Saccharomyces cerevisiae S288C: one gene and its partners. The main gene of each other region encodes a partner of the protein of the gene in region 3 in a complex. Links are inferred from orthologs where the notes say so. Each region holds a gene or a part of one and is shown on either strand. Other genes may lie near its edges. The genes, in order: COG4, COG5, COG7 and COG6.

Region 1 (5,096 bases), on a different chromosome or scaffold from region 3:
TAATCCCAGATGAAGGTAGTAAATTAAGAATTAAGAGAGACGATGAGATAAATACCAGGAAAATGGATGAAGAAAAGGAAAGGCGTTTAAACGCAATTATAAACGGTGAAGTTTGATCTATGCATGGCTGGGGGTTTTCGATTTCATAGACATGTATATTATCATATATAGTTACTATCGAGTATAGTTATGAGATTTTCTAGAGGAAGTCTATCAACCAGAATTCTGGACAATAATGCTAGTTCTGACTTCCAATCCTGGAATAAATCGTTTCTTAACATGTTTAGATTTATAGGATCTTTTTTCAAAAGAGCATTTATCAGCCATTGGGACTGCTGTATAGATGAACTGCCAATACCTGGAGAGGATCCATGCGACACTAACGCCTGAAGTTCGTTGTAAGGCTCATGCTGCGATATAAATGATAAAAGACAAAGCCCCACGGCATACAAATCCGATTCAAATGTAGGAACATGATCGGAGGAGCTATCAATTAGTTCTGGTGCACAGTATTCTACCGTGGTATTCAGATCTGTTGGTGTTTGATTAATGTGAAATGCCGACGTAAAGTCAGCAAGGTAGAAGTCAAAATCCTTACAATGGCCTCCATTAAGAACATGCATTTCTGTTATTAAAATATTTGCTGTTTTTATATCACCATGAATTATACCATTTGTTTTCAAAGATTTTAATGCGTCTATCATTTGCTTCATAAGTCTCCACCATATTTTTCTTTTTGTTATCAACGAAAGCTTATGTGACACTGCTGTATTGAAGTGATATAAACTCATTTCGCATTTCGGAAGAATAAGGCCAGGAACACATTCGTTGGACCTCAGTCTTCTAAAATGGGATTTAGTTATGTATGTCAACCCATAGAATGGAATAATATGACTTTCATTGGTTGAAGGACTCATGTACTGGAGATATGCTAGCGTCAAAGCTTCCTGTAAAATCACCTTGCTTTTATGCTGTGATTTGGCAAACTTTAAAACAACCCCTGAATCGTTGTTACATCTTGATGAAGCACTTGATGATATAGGGTACACATATGAATAACTTCCCTGTCCCACTAATTTGTTAGACGGAAGAGAATAACTTGGATTTGACAAAAAATCCATCTCTGGAGCAAGTAATATGCCCATCAAAAACTCATCCAGAAATTCTAGGGAAGAAACTGTATTAGAAAGACGGAACATTAAAGCCAAATTCTCCGGAGAGTAAAACCGGGGGGTAGTGAACAATACGTCTAAATCGTTCTTTAGGTGCGCCTCCGAGGTAGCAACGGGCGCCTTACTAGAATAATCTGTCTGGAATGCCTCACTGAATTTAGCTGTCGGCTCCTCTACAGGAGATACCAGATGTGAATATGCGAAGTTACTTTTATGTTTTTGCGGTTGGCGATAAGCAAAACCCTTACTATTGTTACTTATGGATGGAAAGGAACCATCAGAAACCCTGGTGACGGGTGACGTAGGAGGTGTACTGTTCATAGCGTGACGTTTGAGAACTAGTCTTTGAGATGTGTTTTAAGACGATTTTTGCTGTTGATGAGGTTAGATCCCCGTTATATAAAGGCAAGAATCTATTAGCAGCGCTTTTTGTTTATTCAATGCTAGTCAAAATAAACAATAAGATAGACCCATACATCACAATCTAGCTGGTTTGCGATCATGTTGATTGACACATTATATCCTTGCTAGGGAACATAAATTTTCGTCATAGGCTATACAAGCAGCTGAGATATAGTGAAGGAGGTAAGCAACTTTTGAAACACATTTACGATCTTCTAACCTTATTAACTTGTTGCTTTAGCTTTTAGAACTCCATTTACGTCACTTTTTTGAATTTTCGCCTGTAAAGGAATTGTGAAAAAAGTGTGGGATAGAGATAGAACATAGAAAACAAACCAAATTCGTTGGGACAGCGAAGTAGCGCAAACTAACGATACTGTATTGTCAGGCTCTAAAAGGGTGAAGTTTTGATGGAAGGGCAAAAATCGAATGCATCATGGGAGAGCTCGATCATCGAGGGCCAATTGTCTAAAAATCTAGCAAGGTACACCTTGTTATTAGACAAATTATCGACACTATCTCAAATAGACAAGCTGTCTGAAGTGATAGCCAATGATTACGCAAAACAATCTAAACAATTAAATGCATTTGTGCAACAGTCGCAATCATCGCTCAACAAAGAGTCCCGGAAATTAGAATTGCAAAGAACTAACCTTACGACTACTTTGACTCAGTTTCATGAGACTGTGGCCACCATTTCTTCTTCGAACGCAAGAGCAAAAGCTATACATGACGATATTGAAACTGTAGATCAGGAACGCGCTTTGGTCAACAAAACGTTACAATTTGTAAAAGACGTCAGGACGCTAAAGAATAATATTTCACTGGCGCATTCTGCTTTAGAAACAAAGGATTACTTAGTTGCTGCGACAGCAATCAATGAAATTAGAAGCCTTCCGGATAAAAAACTTATTGTATCCGAGTTTGCCAAGAAAGTTGTGCCCTCGAGTGAAATTCCCGAAGAACCAGCTATACTAATAAAGAATTGGTGTAAGGAACTGACAAGTTTATTTCAGGAGCAATTCATGGAAGCAACAAGAACACAGGATATTAAAGAGCTAACCTTAATGTTCAAAATGTTCCCTATGATTGGGCAGGACGTACTTGGTTTAGACCTGTATTCCAAATATGTCTGTGATATTATTGCGGACGAAAGCAGGAAAATTATGTCGAATTCTATGGAAAACAGCACCAAGTTTCAAGGATTTTTTTCACAAGTACTGTTACATCTTTTTAAAATTGTATCGACCATTATAAATGATCATTCAAAAGTCATCGCCACGTGTTATGGAAAAAAGCACATGGTGCATGTCATGGAAAAAGTAGAAAAAGAAGCTGATCTTCAAGCTAGTTTGATTCTAGATATTTTTATGGAGACGAGGAAAATAGAAAGGACTATACATGATATAAATGAATGGGAACATTCACAAAAGAATGAAGATGTGAATATAGACAGTAATCAGTCGGATATCGAAACAGACGGAGAAACGGAAAAGAGCTCAATTATATCCATTCATGACTTGGCATTATTGATAATGGAATTTTCTCAAATACTTCAAAATTGGTCCATGTATTCTAGATTTTATTCAGTTAAATGGAATGAATTTAGCGATTTGCATCCGCATGTATTGCAACCACCTCCACCAATAGCAGATGGTAAATTTGCCTTAAAGTTAAAGCAAGATAAGGTCTTTGATGAGTTTCAGGTGTTTGTGTTGAACCATCTGCAGAGATCATTTAGAAATAGTATTTCACTAGAAGAATTACCGTCACTGAACGATCTTATAACTGCTGTTCCCCTCAATGACCACGATAACATTTCATACCCTGTAACATCTGTTTTAGATGACTTAATTTTATTAGTTCGGAAAAATCTGATATCAGTGGTTAATACTGGCCAGTTTAAGCTCTTAGCAAGTTTTTTGAACGAGTTGGTAAAATTTTTTCAGAACCGATTTCTGGTAAAATTTATGCAAAACAAATTTAAGTTACTACAATCGAAACTAGCCTCCAATGTATCTTTGAAAAGATACATTCCAAAAGGTGAGGAGCAATCTGCAACATCAAGATCGGTTTCTCCACCTGCAAATAAGTTTTCTCCGCTAAGCAGGTTCACTTTTAGAGGGGCAGCAGCTAGCGCTTTGACAAATATTCAATCAAATTTACAAGCCGTAGTTGCAGAGGACGAGGATTCCATTCTTGCGTTGCACCATTATTTGATATATCTGAACACGTTGTACTTGAGTAAAGTATACGTTCACAGGCTGTTATCCATAGAAATATTAGAAGACGATTCGCAAAGGATTTTGAGAGACAATTTCCCTTTTGACAATGATGCAGCGCAGTTACAGAATTTAATTATAAACTCAGAAAAATTAGTCCTGGAACAAACAGATAAGCTAAGCAAATGGGCTGTCAAATACTTGTTCCAAAATATCCTACAAAATAGGGTTCGGAACTTATTGGGAACTGTTTTTGTTAATTCAGCCTCATCAAATTCCTCAACGTCCAATCAAAAAAATGTGTCTCGCGATTATTCTGCAGGTTCGAACCAAAAGAATTACATCACAAGCATAGAAGATTTCGAAGATTTGTCGCAAATTAACAGTTTCAATAGCAAATGGAACCAATTGATTATCCCTTACAAAAATATTCTTCACAACGAAGCATATGCAGAGTTGCTATCTGTCATAGTCGACTACATCGTAACAACATTGGAGCAAAGAATATGGACTCTAGAATTCAATGAACTTGGTGTTACGAAATTAGATAGAGAACTGAGCCTTTTCATCGGCAATATGTGTGGCTTGAACTATAATCTCAGAGAGAAGTTCTTGAAATTGACACAAATCGTGTTGCTTCTCGGTTTAGATGATGACAATTTTGATTTGACTACAGGTGATATCAAGGATGACTTCAATGGTACTTTCGATTGGGTGATAAACTCTCAGGAAAGAATTAAAGCTAGAAATATGAAGATTGATAGAACACAGTAAATATAACATAAGCTTTACGAGCTGAATACTAAGTAGTTTCATATAAACGCAAACATAATCTTGGCTGTTGTACCTTTTCTGCATACTCTTGACTGTTAATACATTTCTTATTTTTCTTATGAAAGAGCACAACATGATAGCGCCATACTATCATTCTGAACGTTGCGATTAACTGGAAATTACGAAGACTAAGACAAGAAAAATTAAAAGCGTTAATAAAAAATAAACAAAGGAACCTTTGAAATATATTCCGTCACCAAGCTAAGAAAGGAGTAGCTCTTTCTCTAAGGCCAACTTTGTCATCCTTTGAGTTAGTTTAAAGTCTATTAATATTTGCTATTATCTTCTGGGCTGGATAAATAGGACTTTTCTATTGGCACATTTTTTTCTCTTGTAGAAGGTCATCACGAATATTAATTTTGTATTTGAAAGCATTTTATTTTCTCCTTTTTTTATTACCATAATATACCTGGTACTGGTTTTTACCTGATTTAACGTCTAGCCGCTCAAAACAAAAACCCACTCA
Region 2 (3,695 bases), on a different chromosome or scaffold from region 3:
AAGAAAGTACAAAAATTCTGGAGGATGATCTACGTATTCGTGATAAATGGCCATATTGCCAGGGTCGAATAATAGATCTGTATAAGCACAATGCGAGAATAGAGTTAGAGCAGCAGAAGGAATTGAAGATTAAAAAGAGGAGACCTGGTCAAAAGCAACGTGCAGCCAAAAAACTGGCACTTGAAAGAACCAAGGAGCGTGATACCAAAGCTCGTGAGATAAAGAAACAGTTGAAGAAAAAGTTTCATAAGCGTGGTGGAAAGAAAAACAAAAAAAAGGTACCTTTGAACCCACTGGCAAAAGCTGGCAGTACCCCTAAGTTTAGGACAGAATGACCACGTAAATGTATATATATACATATTAATACTTCATATAAACTAACCGATATTGGATTTCTCATAATAACTATTACTAGTATAATCTTTAATAATATAAACAAATATTACATTTCATGTAATTTTTATTAAACATATGCACATGCTATTGAAAATTGCTTTAGATTCATCCTATTTCATCAACATTCTTAATTTTATGTAAACTGTCTCACTTATTTAGAGAAATAGATACTGAGTTTAGCATTACATCCAAGTAGCTTTGGTAATCACTATTATCAGAAGATTTTTTCATACTTTGCTTCATAGTGTTTATAATAAAATCTTTATTTTTTAACAGCGACTTGCCCACAGGGCCTCCTCTATTAACAGATATATCAAAGTCCTTTTTGAAGGCAGATGAAACTTTGCTCCAAAACAGATCTCTCGGTGTACCAGAACCTGCTTTACTCTTCATTGAGGTATATTCTGATAAAAGATTGCCAAGGCGTGATTTATTAGCAGCAATAGATCTCGAGGAATTCGTAACATTATCCGTTTTGATGTTCTGTAGTAGTGTTTCTAAAATGTAGATGTTATAACCTTTTTCAACAACTTCATTGAACGCATCAGGAAACATCCTGATAGAATTTAAAATTTTTGATAGGATTTGTGAGCTCATTGTAACATTAGATAGTACAATCTTGTTTATTGCAGACTCGAATTCTTGAGATGAAAGTAGATATAAGGAGTAGGCCAGCTGAGATATTATTTCTTTGTTCGATTTGATTTTAATAGAGTTCAAGCACTCTTTACACATTTGTAAAGACAAAAATGTTATTAACTCTCTTTTGTTGGGGGAAACAATGTCCTGATCTAATTGTTTAATTTTCCGCAAGGATTTTAGATTTTTATTTTCTTCCAAAGTAATTTCAAGTTGGTAGTGTAAGGAGGCTAAATTAATAGCTGTTGATGTGCTTAGTTGGGCTGTTTTAGACAGTGCGTTTAATTTGTTTGATAAATGAATATAAAGCAATGCTCCGCGCAAGAGAAAAGATGTTTGGTAAACTTTACTCAACGCTAGTTGGACTTTCCTCGCTCTTTCATAAGGATCTAGAACTTGATTCTTTAGTCTATCGTACGACATATTCATATATCCCAAACTTGGTTTCAACTCACCAACTATGGTTGAATTGACGTGTTCATTTTTGTAAATTAACTCTATTATCTCCAATGGGTTGCTATTCATCAATTGGTCTATTCTAGAGTCAATCTCATGTAGATCATAGTTTAGCTTTTTAAGAGGCGTGTTAAGGTCTAAAATGGTTGTGTCATTGTTATTAGTAGCCTTCAGTAAGTCATTACCAAATTGTTTAGCATCAAAATCAGGCTCCAGCAGAGACTCAAAATCTTCTAAATCGTTTGCCATTGGCGCTATTGTCATACCTCCAGCTCTTTTCTTCTTTTTTGTTACACATTTTTATCTTCCATATCTATTCTAGTTGATTTTTTTTTTTTCATAGTATTCAACCAAATGGAGAAGTTTTTAAGAAATACGTCTTTGAAAGGGAGGCATAGAATAACAAGGTAAACCCATTTATACAGGATTCCCTCATACTATATTAGCTTATTTCATTCCAGGGGGGTTCCCTTAAATATAAGAATAATAAGAATAATGATATAAAATTATATGTCTAACAAAAAATTACAAAATTTGAGTAAATAAATAAAGAAAAAATGTGAGAGTGGCAATCAGCCAATTTTATGTTTGATATGTTGGCATTGTATTGGGCGGATGCCCATGGATACACTTATAATGTAATAAGATATTCACTTTCGTACAGGTCACAGACTAGCTGAAAAAACCATGACAATCGTTAACCCCTATTGATTTCCTTTCAAAATTTCTGGCCTGTTCATTTAGATTGGACCTGAGAATAACCACCCCAAGGATTAGCATTCTTCGACTTCAAATATTCGTCACTCTTTAGCTGCCACTCCTTATTCATGGTCTTTGCGTCTTGGCCACCCGCCATCCTGACGACAGCAAAAAGTCCCACTGAAAATAGTAGGCCTGCAGCAACACCTTTGGCAATAAAACTGGAATCACCCTTATTCAATACAGGTCTTCTTGGGCCCCATTCTCCGTAAGAAATGTACCACACAGCTTGCTTTTCAGGCTCAGTAAGCTGTGCCCATGGTAATTTTTGACGTTCACTCAACTTACTGACAATATCCTGCTGCTCAGTGGAGGGCATGTTCTCCCATCTGGATTGCAGATCCATTACAGCAGCGTTGGAAAGAGCATGTGTTTGAGCGAATCTTACGGATGTAATACGTGATAGTCCACCAGCTCTAGTAAAAGTGTTACGTAACATTGTAGATGCGTTCTTAGTTGATCTTGTGTTTGGTGCATTGCTTGCAAACAGAAGACAAAATACGAGGACTGATGGTTCTTATTTAATTGATTGTTCTTTTTAACTTTTCGCCGCCGCTTGTATCGGCGCAAAACGTAGGGCCAATCACAAACGAGGAAAACGTCTATTGGACGATTTTTGCAATGTGACACTTACAATGATGAATAATTACTATGTAGGCAGAAGTGCTAAGTACATTCTATTTAGAAGCGTAGGGAGGCGGTCTGCCTGCAGATCTGATAGTCATAAAGATTCTTTTGGGAGATGCTGTCCCTTAAGGAAGAAACATCATCTGTTCCGGGGCAGTAGATATTGATTCGTTGTCCACAGAAGCTTCCAGTGAATCTGCGGGTTGAGACAAACTTTTACAGTGCTCATCATCTTCCCCGCGTTCTGTGGCCAGTGCGGTCCTTGCTCCAGTCAACGTAGCAGGAGTTCTTGGCGTTACTTCCGAAGAATTGACAGAACTGTCATTCGGCGACGATGATAGATTCGTTACCATGGGAAAACTTCTAAAGGACGCAGAAGAGTAGGACTTCGTAGTCGAGGAAACTTCGTTGTTTCCGATGTCATCTTCCTCAGGCATGTGAACAGTCTCTCCTTCTTCGCCCGGTGAGTTCTTGGACAACATGGTTCCCCATTCCATAAGTTGGAAGATGAGACCCATGTTTGGACTTATATCCTTAGCAACACCTTTCAGCTTATTGTATGCATCATTTAAACTCAAGCCATAATATCGCATGATATACGCCACAATCAATGACGCCGATCTTGATACTCCACACTGACAGTGTACGAGTATTTTCTTGCCTTGCGAATGAGCGGTATGTATAATGCGTGTCAATCGGGATAAGTCCTTGACGATCTTGGATGTGTGTGTCCATTCAATATGGTAATATTTTATTTTATGTGCCATTTCCGGCGGTATTAAAAACTCCAGGTTCGGTATTTCTTTGGCAACATTAAT
Region 3 (3,288 bases):
TTGGCAGCTGTCAAGTTTTAATCATGTTTTTTGGTGGCGCACCATTTTCTATTGCCAGACAAACCAAATCAATGTGGATAACCGCGGTACTGTGTGGTATGTTGTCTCTAATCATGGGGGTGCTAGTGAGAATCTGCCCCGATGAAGTAGCAGTGAAGGTATTTCCGGCTGCTTTCGTTCAAAGATTCAAGTACGTATTTGGACTCGAGTTCCTCAGAAAAAACCATACTGGAAAACACGACGATGAAGAAGCGCTGTTGGAGGAATCTGATAGTCCAGAGTCCACCGCCTTTTATTAATAGACGCGCTCTATATGTTTATACAAATGTAAGTGACCAAATGAAAAGATGTGTGTAATAGTTATATTTTCAAAATTGTACACTATATTATATAATCAATAAAAAGAAACTATCTGAAATAGCATGTCCTCCTAAACAAATTCCTTTTTACCCTTTTATGCATTACAAGTGGACCAAAAGGACTGGAAATGGTAAAAAGAAATAAGAATTTAAACATGCTATAAATTTCTTTTGTTAATTGCAAATTTTTTGTTTTTATCACCGATTATGATATCATACCATCGTCAATATTCTTGGTTGATAAATAACTTTGTGCTTTTGATTTTATGCTCTCCGAAAAGTTGCTATACTCAGCAAAGAACTTATCTAGGCCTTTAAACAGACATTTCAGTTCAGAAAGTGAATCAATTCTCCCAATCAAATCCTTGTTTGTTTCATCTTTAGCCTCGTTATCAATCGCAGAGCTTAAAGATTCATCGATTGTATCCTCTAATGCTTTCAATGATGTTCTAAAATCTGTTATCGAAAGATCTGTCCCCGTGCTGGTTGTATTATTTTCTCTAACTGTCGAAATATTCGTAACGGTCCTAACTTGTTCCAGGTAATATACCACTTTTTCAATTCTCTCCTTAATCAACATTAAACTTTGCAGTTGTTGCCTCACATTGGTATTGCGATTATTTTCGTTATCTAGATCGCTTAGTTTCTCAGTTACATTATGCATTCCTGTTTCTAATGCTCTTACAGCACTTGCCAACGTATCTAAGTAATATTCAAGCTTCGATGATTTTAAGGATTCAGTAGAATACAATGAGGAATCGTTCTGTTCTGCTTCTTTGTGATACCTAGAAGATGCCCAAGTTCTTGGTAACGTTTGAGATAATTTATCCAAATTCCATATGGTGCTTTCCAACTCTTTTGTAAGGTTCTTTGTGTAAAAATCCAACCTGGTTAATAGCAATGAGGATACTGATTGCGTTTGAATCTGATCTTCGTTTAAGGCATTTGATAAGAGTATATCAACGAATGCATGGGGAACGAACTCCTCATCAAAAAACATACTCAATATATCATCATCATCACCCGTAATTGTCAACTCTACCATATTCTGCTTAGTTTGGCCTTCTTGTTCTTAGTGAATTGTTCTATTTTAGACATATTTCATATGGAAATAAAATGCATTATCACCCTCAAAGCGCATTACGCCAAGCTCATGCAGCGAAGTGAACTTTTTTGAAAAAGTTACTAGTACGAAAGAGGTTAAGGATTACTTAAGTTATACAAAGCGCAGAAGTTGTTTTTTCCAACTTCAAGCACCTCCCCATTTGATTCATCATCAGAAACGTAACAGAATTGGCTGACCTCATCGTCATTGGAAACTAAAAAGGTGGGCGTCTCAAATTCAATAGCGGGCCGTTCACTTTCTGGGTCTGAAATAATGTCAAGCTTAATACTGGTGTCGAATCCAGAAGATACAAATAAGGCTCCGGCTGCAAAGTAGACATTGTTTATTGGGGTGCCTTCATTAATTAAAAACTCACCAACTGGGCATTCCGGTGATCTTAGATCCCATTGAGCTAGCATTCCATTTTCATATCCGGCATAAATATAGTTTGCATTATTGCCATCGACTGTCAATGAATTACATGAACATGTGAACTTGCTTGGGAGTTGAATAGTTTGCTCTTTGGAAAATACATTATGTACAGTAATAACACCAGAAACGTGACCAGCAATCACATATTTTCCATATGTTCCAAACTCTAGATTATTTTTCTTGGAAGTAGAAATTTCATGTAATTGTCTGTCTGTCCCTACGAACAGCGCTATGCTGTTAACACCATCATGCGGGTTTTCTTTTCTGTTAAACGTGTGAATTGTCGTTCCTGTGCCGCACTCCCAAAGGCGAATTGTACCATCCAAAGAGGCAGAGAGCACATTCCTTCCTCGGTCTATTATGGCAATATCTGTGACTGTCGCCCTGTGTCCAATTAACGTGCGAGGATTTGAGCCGTCTTTTACTGACCAGATCTTTAATTGCATATCCTGTGAACTAGATATCAAAGCTTCACCGCTTGGAAAAAACTTTAGTTTTGTTATTTCACTAACGTGAGCTTGGTCAATTTCTCTTTGAAGGTTGAAATTTGAATCCAATACTTTAATATCGCCTTCTGTAGTGCCTAATATGAACCGTCTCATCTGAAGTTTAGCTGTGTCTACGGCAGTATAATCCGCCCTCTTGAGCATCTTTGAACCATCTCTTATGATAGTATTGAATAAAAAATCATGTCCATCCAACCGCGCCTTGTATAAGTGGGAGCCAACCTTTTCAAATGTATTTCCTTTGCCTGCATCTACACCCCTGCTATTTCCTAACACTACTATCTTATGCTCCTTGATTTCATTTAGGTTTTTGTCAACATTGATGTAAAATTCATCGTCATTTTCATCATTTTCTTCCAGAACAGCTTTAAAATCATACTGGATATGAGCAACTGTGATGGTCTTAGTCATTGTCGTTTCTATTGTACTTCGCTATTTCTTTTTACTTTCTGCTCTTAGGGTTGAAAACTTAATTTTTCGAAGCTTCTTTTGCCGATTTCTAGATTATTCGCCCATCCTGACGCCTGTAATATGTCATGTTAAAAACATCACAAAAGTTAATAAGGTTAACTGAGCCTTATTCCCAAATCCTGACAAGGACAAATGCCATTTTTAATGTGCAAGAAAAAGGTTCCATCCAGTTTTCTAATAACTGGATGACGAAATTTTAACGGAACTTATTAACCGTCTCTTTTTATATTGTTACGTATTTTGTATGCTTGGTAGGTACGTTACCTTAGTACATAAGTGTTATCGTTAAAATCTTCTCACTGAAACAATTGAACTAATCAACCGACCTTGTTAGATGAGTGAGGTGTAAGTAGAACTATATGAACTACTGGGCATTCGCAACAACACCATCAGATATACTAGTACACTTTTTTTT
Region 4 (4,817 bases), on a different chromosome or scaffold from region 3:
TCCACGGCCACTTCCACTGTTGTTCCGGGCTCAATGTAGTCATTGACATGATGCTTTGCATGTAAACCGAAACGAGAAACGTGTGAAACTAATATCTTCTCAATTTTCGACGAATTACGATTCCCTTCAACAATTTTCAAAAAACCAGAATCACTTGGTTGGCCCCCACCTTCGGGGAACAGAATAGTATCTTGTAGTTCAATCTCATAACCTTCAATCTCTCCCTTTTTATTCTTCGTTGGTTCGCAAGAAACAACCAGTGTTTTGAACCCATCGAAGAGAAATGAGTTCCTCTGGCAGGCTAAAGCGCCGACCTTGACAGGCGTCATAGGTGTGGGCATGATAACTTACCTTTTAATCAATTTTTGACGCTGTTGTGTGCTTTCGTCGATATGCGTCACCAGGATGTCTATTCTTAAGTTTTTTTTACACGATAAGGATAAAAAATAAAAAGATGTTAATGATGGGTGGTTGGTTCTTTTACTAATGAAAAGTGTAAGCATATTTCGTACAAATTGCTTGCAATAAGTCACTTGTACAAAAGTAAACTGATATAAACGTCTTCCTAGTGGGCTGAATTTCAGAATTTACGCGAGTGATACATGAATTTACTGATAATCGATGGTATTCGTTATTTGATAAGGTGGTATTATTGAATATACAGAATGCATTATATGCGCTCATTGAGGATATAATAGTCATGACAGGAAATCAATGTCCTACGTAATAACACTATTATTTCTTCCTTTGCATTGCACGTTGTTATGCATTACTCTGTTACATCATCAGTTCTTGTATTTCGGCTTTTACTAGATTTGAGATTGTATCTCATGGCTTATGTCACTTTCTTACATTGTGTGTGATAGGTATACTAGTAACATGGCCACTAGTCAATAAGCAACGGTCAATTCTTATTCCAGCAGTTCTTAATATGCATGGAATTAGTGAAGAATAGGAGCCGATAACTTTACTTGTGCATTTGTATTAAATTTACGTCCTTCTTATTTATTTCGTCCACGTACGTTACTACCCTTTTTCCAGTAATTTTTCTTTAACTTGAAATGGTCTTGTAACTCCTATTACATTCCGGTGCCATATCAAGAGTAGCCTGGTAATATAGAAAAATTCCAGTAGCTTAACAAGAGCCTATTTTTAATCAAAAATGCCGGAGCAAAAAGCCAACTGTTCACCAAACGGTAACATAACAGTTGATAGTATGATTATGTCGCTAGGATCTTCTTAAAGGATAACACGAATTACGAAACCAATAGAGGGATATTAGAAGGATCAGCTGAAACCTAAAGATCAATAATATAACAGGATTATAAGTGACAACATATAGTATTAAAGAAACAAACCGCTATATGATTGCATGTATTACCACCTCTCTTTTGTTGATACGCATATCCCTGAGGAAAACTCTCAGCACATTCCATATACGAGGGAAAAATTGGATTTCAAAAACTGGTATCTAATCCTACCGATGCGTATGTTAGTCGAAATCTATAAGTAAATTGTTAATGATTGCTTTCTGTTCGTTTATACTTCCATTTTACTTATATATCACCTGCCGTCTCAGACGACAAAATACATACAACTGGCGTAATGACGCTTTCATACAAAATATACATCTAAGGTAGTAATTCATTCTAGTAAATATTCATCCGAAAGCTGTAGTATCTGAAGTATATTGTACATTATCGTAACAAAATCCCCAGTGAAGTTTACTCACAATGGATTTCGTTGTAGACTATCAGACCTACGCAATGGCGGATACTGCCACGCCAGAATTACCAGAACCTGAGCCAAGACTAAACTTAACCTCAGATGCACAGTCACAGCCCACCGGTAAACTAGATCTACAGTTTAAGTTGCCCGACCTTCAACGTTATTCCAATAATAATGCAACTTTGCCAGTAGATAATGATGGTGCTGGTTCGAAAGACCTACATAAGAAAATGACACATTACGCAATGTCTTCCATTGATAAAATACAGCTTTCAAATCCAAGCAAACAATTAGGGCAAAATTCCCAGGATGAAAAACTATCGCAGCAAGAATCTCAAAATTTCACGAATTACGAGCCAAAAAACCTTGATTTATCAAAATTAGTATCCCCGTCAAGTGGTTCCAACAAAAATACCACAAATTTGGTTCTTTCGAATAAACTATCCAAGATATTGAACAATTACACATTGATTAACTATCAGGCCACAGTCCAACTAAGAAAATCCCTAAAGGTTCTAGAAGAGAATAAAGAGAGATTGTCCCTTGATGAACAAAAGCTCATGAATCCTGAATATGTAGGTACTTTGGCAAGAAGAGCATTGAGGACTGATTTGGAATCTCAACTGCTAAAGGAACATATTACGGTACTTGAGGAATTCAAACCTATCATTAGAAGGATTAAACGATTATCTTCTTCCGTCGAAAAAATACAAAGAACGAGCGAAAAATTACTAAGTAATGAGACAAATGAGGTTCCAACAAATAACGTGGTACTTCAGGAAATAGATCAATACCGTTTAAAGGCAGAGCAGTTGAAGCTGAAAAAAAAAATACTGTTATCTATAAGGGATAGGTTTACTTTGAATCAGGTAGAGGACGATGTAATCACCAATGGTACTATAGACAACATCTTTTTCGAGGTAGTAAAGAAAGTAATCAATATTAAAGATGAATCAAGTTTCTTGCTGACGCTTCCTAATTTGAATGCTGGAAATGCTTTGATAATGGGAGTTAATGAAATTTTAGAAAAGACAAACAAAAAAATCTTCAATTATTTGATCGATTTTTTATATAGTTTTGAATCCTCTTCAAATTTATTAAATGACCATGGTACTACTGAACAAGAAAGCTTAAACATTTTTCGGAAGAGTCTGGTCTTCCTGTCAAGTGATCTAGAATTATTTAATGAGTTGTTGAAAAGAGTGACCACACTGAGATCCAAGAGTATTCTGGATGAGTTTTTGTCTCAATTCGATATGAATTCAACTACCTCTAAACCCATCATATTATCGGCACACGATCCAATTAGGTATATTGGTGACGTACTAGCGTCCGTTCATTCCATCATCGCAAATGAAGCTGATTTCGTGAAGTCACTATTTGACTTTCAGGATGAAGACTTAAAAGATACCCCAATTTCTATACTTCAACAAAACAAGACATTCTTGAAAGGCATCGACAACAAATTGCTGAACGATATCATCCAGTCGCTATCCAATTCGTGTCGTATTCGTATCGAGCAAATCGTGAGGTTTGAAGAAAATCCGATCATCAATTTCGAGATTGTGAGGCTGCTGAAACTTTACAGAGTTATGTTCGAGAGAAAGGGAATTCAGGACGATAGTTCTATTATTAACAATTTAAAGTCGTTGGAAGACATTTCCAAAAACAGAATTATTGGATACTATGAAGACTATATGAAGCAAACAGTCATGGCGGAAACAAAAAATTCTTCAGATGATTTACTGCCACCAGAGTGGCTATCAGAGTATATGAATAAATTGGTAGAGTTATTTGAAATTTATGAAAAGACACATGCTGCCGAAGATGAGGAATCAGAAGATAATAAATTGCTCTCATCTAAGAATTTACAAACAATTGTAGAACAACCAATAAAAGATGTTCTGTTAAAACAATTGCAAACATCTTTTCCTTTGGCGAAAAAAAATGAAAAAGAAAAGGCATCATTGCTAACTATAGAGATAAACTGTTTCGATTTAATTAAATCTAGACTTCAACCTTTTGAGGGATTGTTTGCACAAGATGATGACAGCCGGAAAATCACCATCTGGGTTTGTGATAAACTGAAGGAATATACTAAGCAAATGCTAACTTTACAAATAAAATTCCTATTTGAGAATACAGGTTTAGACCTTTACAGCAATTTGGTCAATATGATTTTTCCTGTGGACTCAGTAAAGGATGAATTGGATTATGATATGTACTTAGCCCTGAGGGATAATTCATTGATGGAATTAGACATGGTCAGAAAAAATGTGCATGATAAGTTGAACTATTATCTACCTCAGGCGTTAACAGATGTTCAAGGTAATTTACTATTTAAATTAACGTCACCAATGATAGCTGATGAAATATGCGATGAATGTTTCAAGAAGTTGTCGCTATTTTATAATATCTTCAGGAAACTGTTGATTCATTTGTATCCGAACAAGAAGGATCAGGTATTCGAAATTTTAAATTTTTCCACTGATGAATTTGACATGTTGATAGGTATTGATCACTGAGAGATGAACAACTTCTGTTTAAAATCGTCTCACAAAGACGCATCTTGCCCATAATGTAGCGATGCTCTATATCTCAAATATTTGTTACCTTTTTTATGTTGGTATGCGGCGGGTATCTATATAATATATGGGTGTATACATACGTAGGGGGAACATCAAAAAGAAAATAATGATCACTCAAGTACTATTTAAAATCTTGCCTACAGAATTATCCTTTGTGATGGTTCTTACGGGGCTTTCGTTTCTACTACTGCTTTCACTGCATGTTCTGTCATCCAAGTCATCGTGTACTTGACGTCCTTCACGAACCGATTGCAGCATATTTGGTTGTTCCTTCATATTGGATTCAATTGGTTTGTCATGTGAGGTAAGTGCTACGGACACGTTAGAATGTATAGGGGATGGTGATCTCTGTACTTGTTTTTCTTTTGCTTCATCGATAATACTTAAATCGATCACTCCAAAGGAGGATGTGGATCTTGCACGCCTATGCTTTTTTTGAACCATTCCAGGTTTCCTTGGTATAGTATGTAAATTGTGCGTGTGGAGATCCTGTTGCTGTTG

Evidence for each region.
Region 1: COG7 (region 3) and COG4 share a complex: the UniProt entries of both Saccharomyces cerevisiae proteins name them as parts of the conserved oligomeric Golgi (COG or Sec34/Sec35) complex.
Region 2: the proteins of COG7 (region 3) and COG5 are in contact, whole or in part, in a crystal structure (PDB 4U6U), measured with the Kluyveromyces lactis proteins. The link is inferred for Saccharomyces cerevisiae S288C from one-to-one orthologs. Residues at the interface, in XP_451390.1 of Kluyveromyces lactis: Phe16, Phe17, Asp18, Asp19, Phe21, Pro23, Gln24, Phe26, Val27, Asp28, Leu30, Leu31, Ser32, Phe34, Gln35, Leu39, Glu40, Lys43, Cys46, Ser47, Leu49, Leu50, Met53, Asp54, Tyr56, Ser57, Ile60, Thr61, Glu63, Leu64; in XP_455247.1 of Kluyveromyces lactis: Ile107, Pro110, Phe111, Arg113, Ala114, Lys116, Leu117, Gln118, Val120, Ser121, Lys123, Ile124, Gln126, Thr127, Thr128, Leu130, Leu131, Arg132, Ser134, Leu135, Val138, His139, Ser142, Asn181, Thr184, Leu185, Gln186, Leu187, Ser190, Cys191.
Region 4: COG7 (region 3) and COG6 share a complex: the UniProt entries of both Saccharomyces cerevisiae proteins name them as parts of the conserved oligomeric Golgi (COG or Sec34/Sec35) complex.

What each region holds. Positions count from the first base shown.
Region 1 is NC_001148.4:736,458-741,553, reverse strand, and holds COG4 (Golgi transport complex subunit COG4), read left to right. Parts: upstream 1-1,984; coding exon 1,985-4,570; downstream 4,571-5,096. Other genes in the region: cleavage polyadenylation factor RNA-binding subunit YTH1, read left to right, coding at 1-116; putative protein kinase ISR1, read right to left, coding at 162-1,493. UniProt on the Saccharomyces cerevisiae protein: Acts as essential component of the peripheral membrane COG complex that is involved in intra-Golgi protein trafficking.
Region 2 is NC_001146.8:530,719-534,413, reverse strand, and holds COG5 (Golgi transport complex subunit COG5), read right to left. Parts: upstream 1,756-3,695; coding exon 544-1,755; downstream 1-543. Other genes in the region: YNL050C (uncharacterized protein), read left to right, coding at 1-335; COX5A (cytochrome c oxidase subunit Va), read right to left, coding at 2,228-2,689; tyrosine/serine/threonine protein phosphatase MSG5, read right to left, coding at 3,003-3,695. UniProt on the Saccharomyces cerevisiae protein: Acts as a component of the peripheral membrane COG complex that is involved in intra-Golgi protein trafficking.
Region 3 is NC_001139.9:489,144-492,431, forward strand, and holds COG7 (Golgi transport complex subunit COG7), read right to left. Parts: upstream 1,405-3,288; coding exon 565-1,404; downstream 1-564. Other genes in the region: calcium-transporting ATPase PMC1, read left to right, coding at 1-299; RPN14 (Rpn14p), read right to left, coding at 1,560-2,813. UniProt on the Saccharomyces cerevisiae protein: Acts as a component of the peripheral membrane COG complex that is involved in intra-Golgi protein trafficking.
Region 4 is NC_001146.8:548,904-553,720, reverse strand, and holds COG6 (Golgi transport complex subunit COG6), read left to right. Parts: upstream 1-1,733; coding exon 1,734-4,253; downstream 4,254-4,817. Other genes in the region: YNL040W (putative alanine--tRNA ligase), read right to left, coding at 1-341; YNL040C-A (uncharacterized protein), read left to right, coding at 1,163-1,243; BOP3 (Bop3p), read right to left, coding at 4,431-4,817. UniProt on the Saccharomyces cerevisiae protein: Acts as a component of the peripheral membrane COG complex that is involved in intra-Golgi protein trafficking.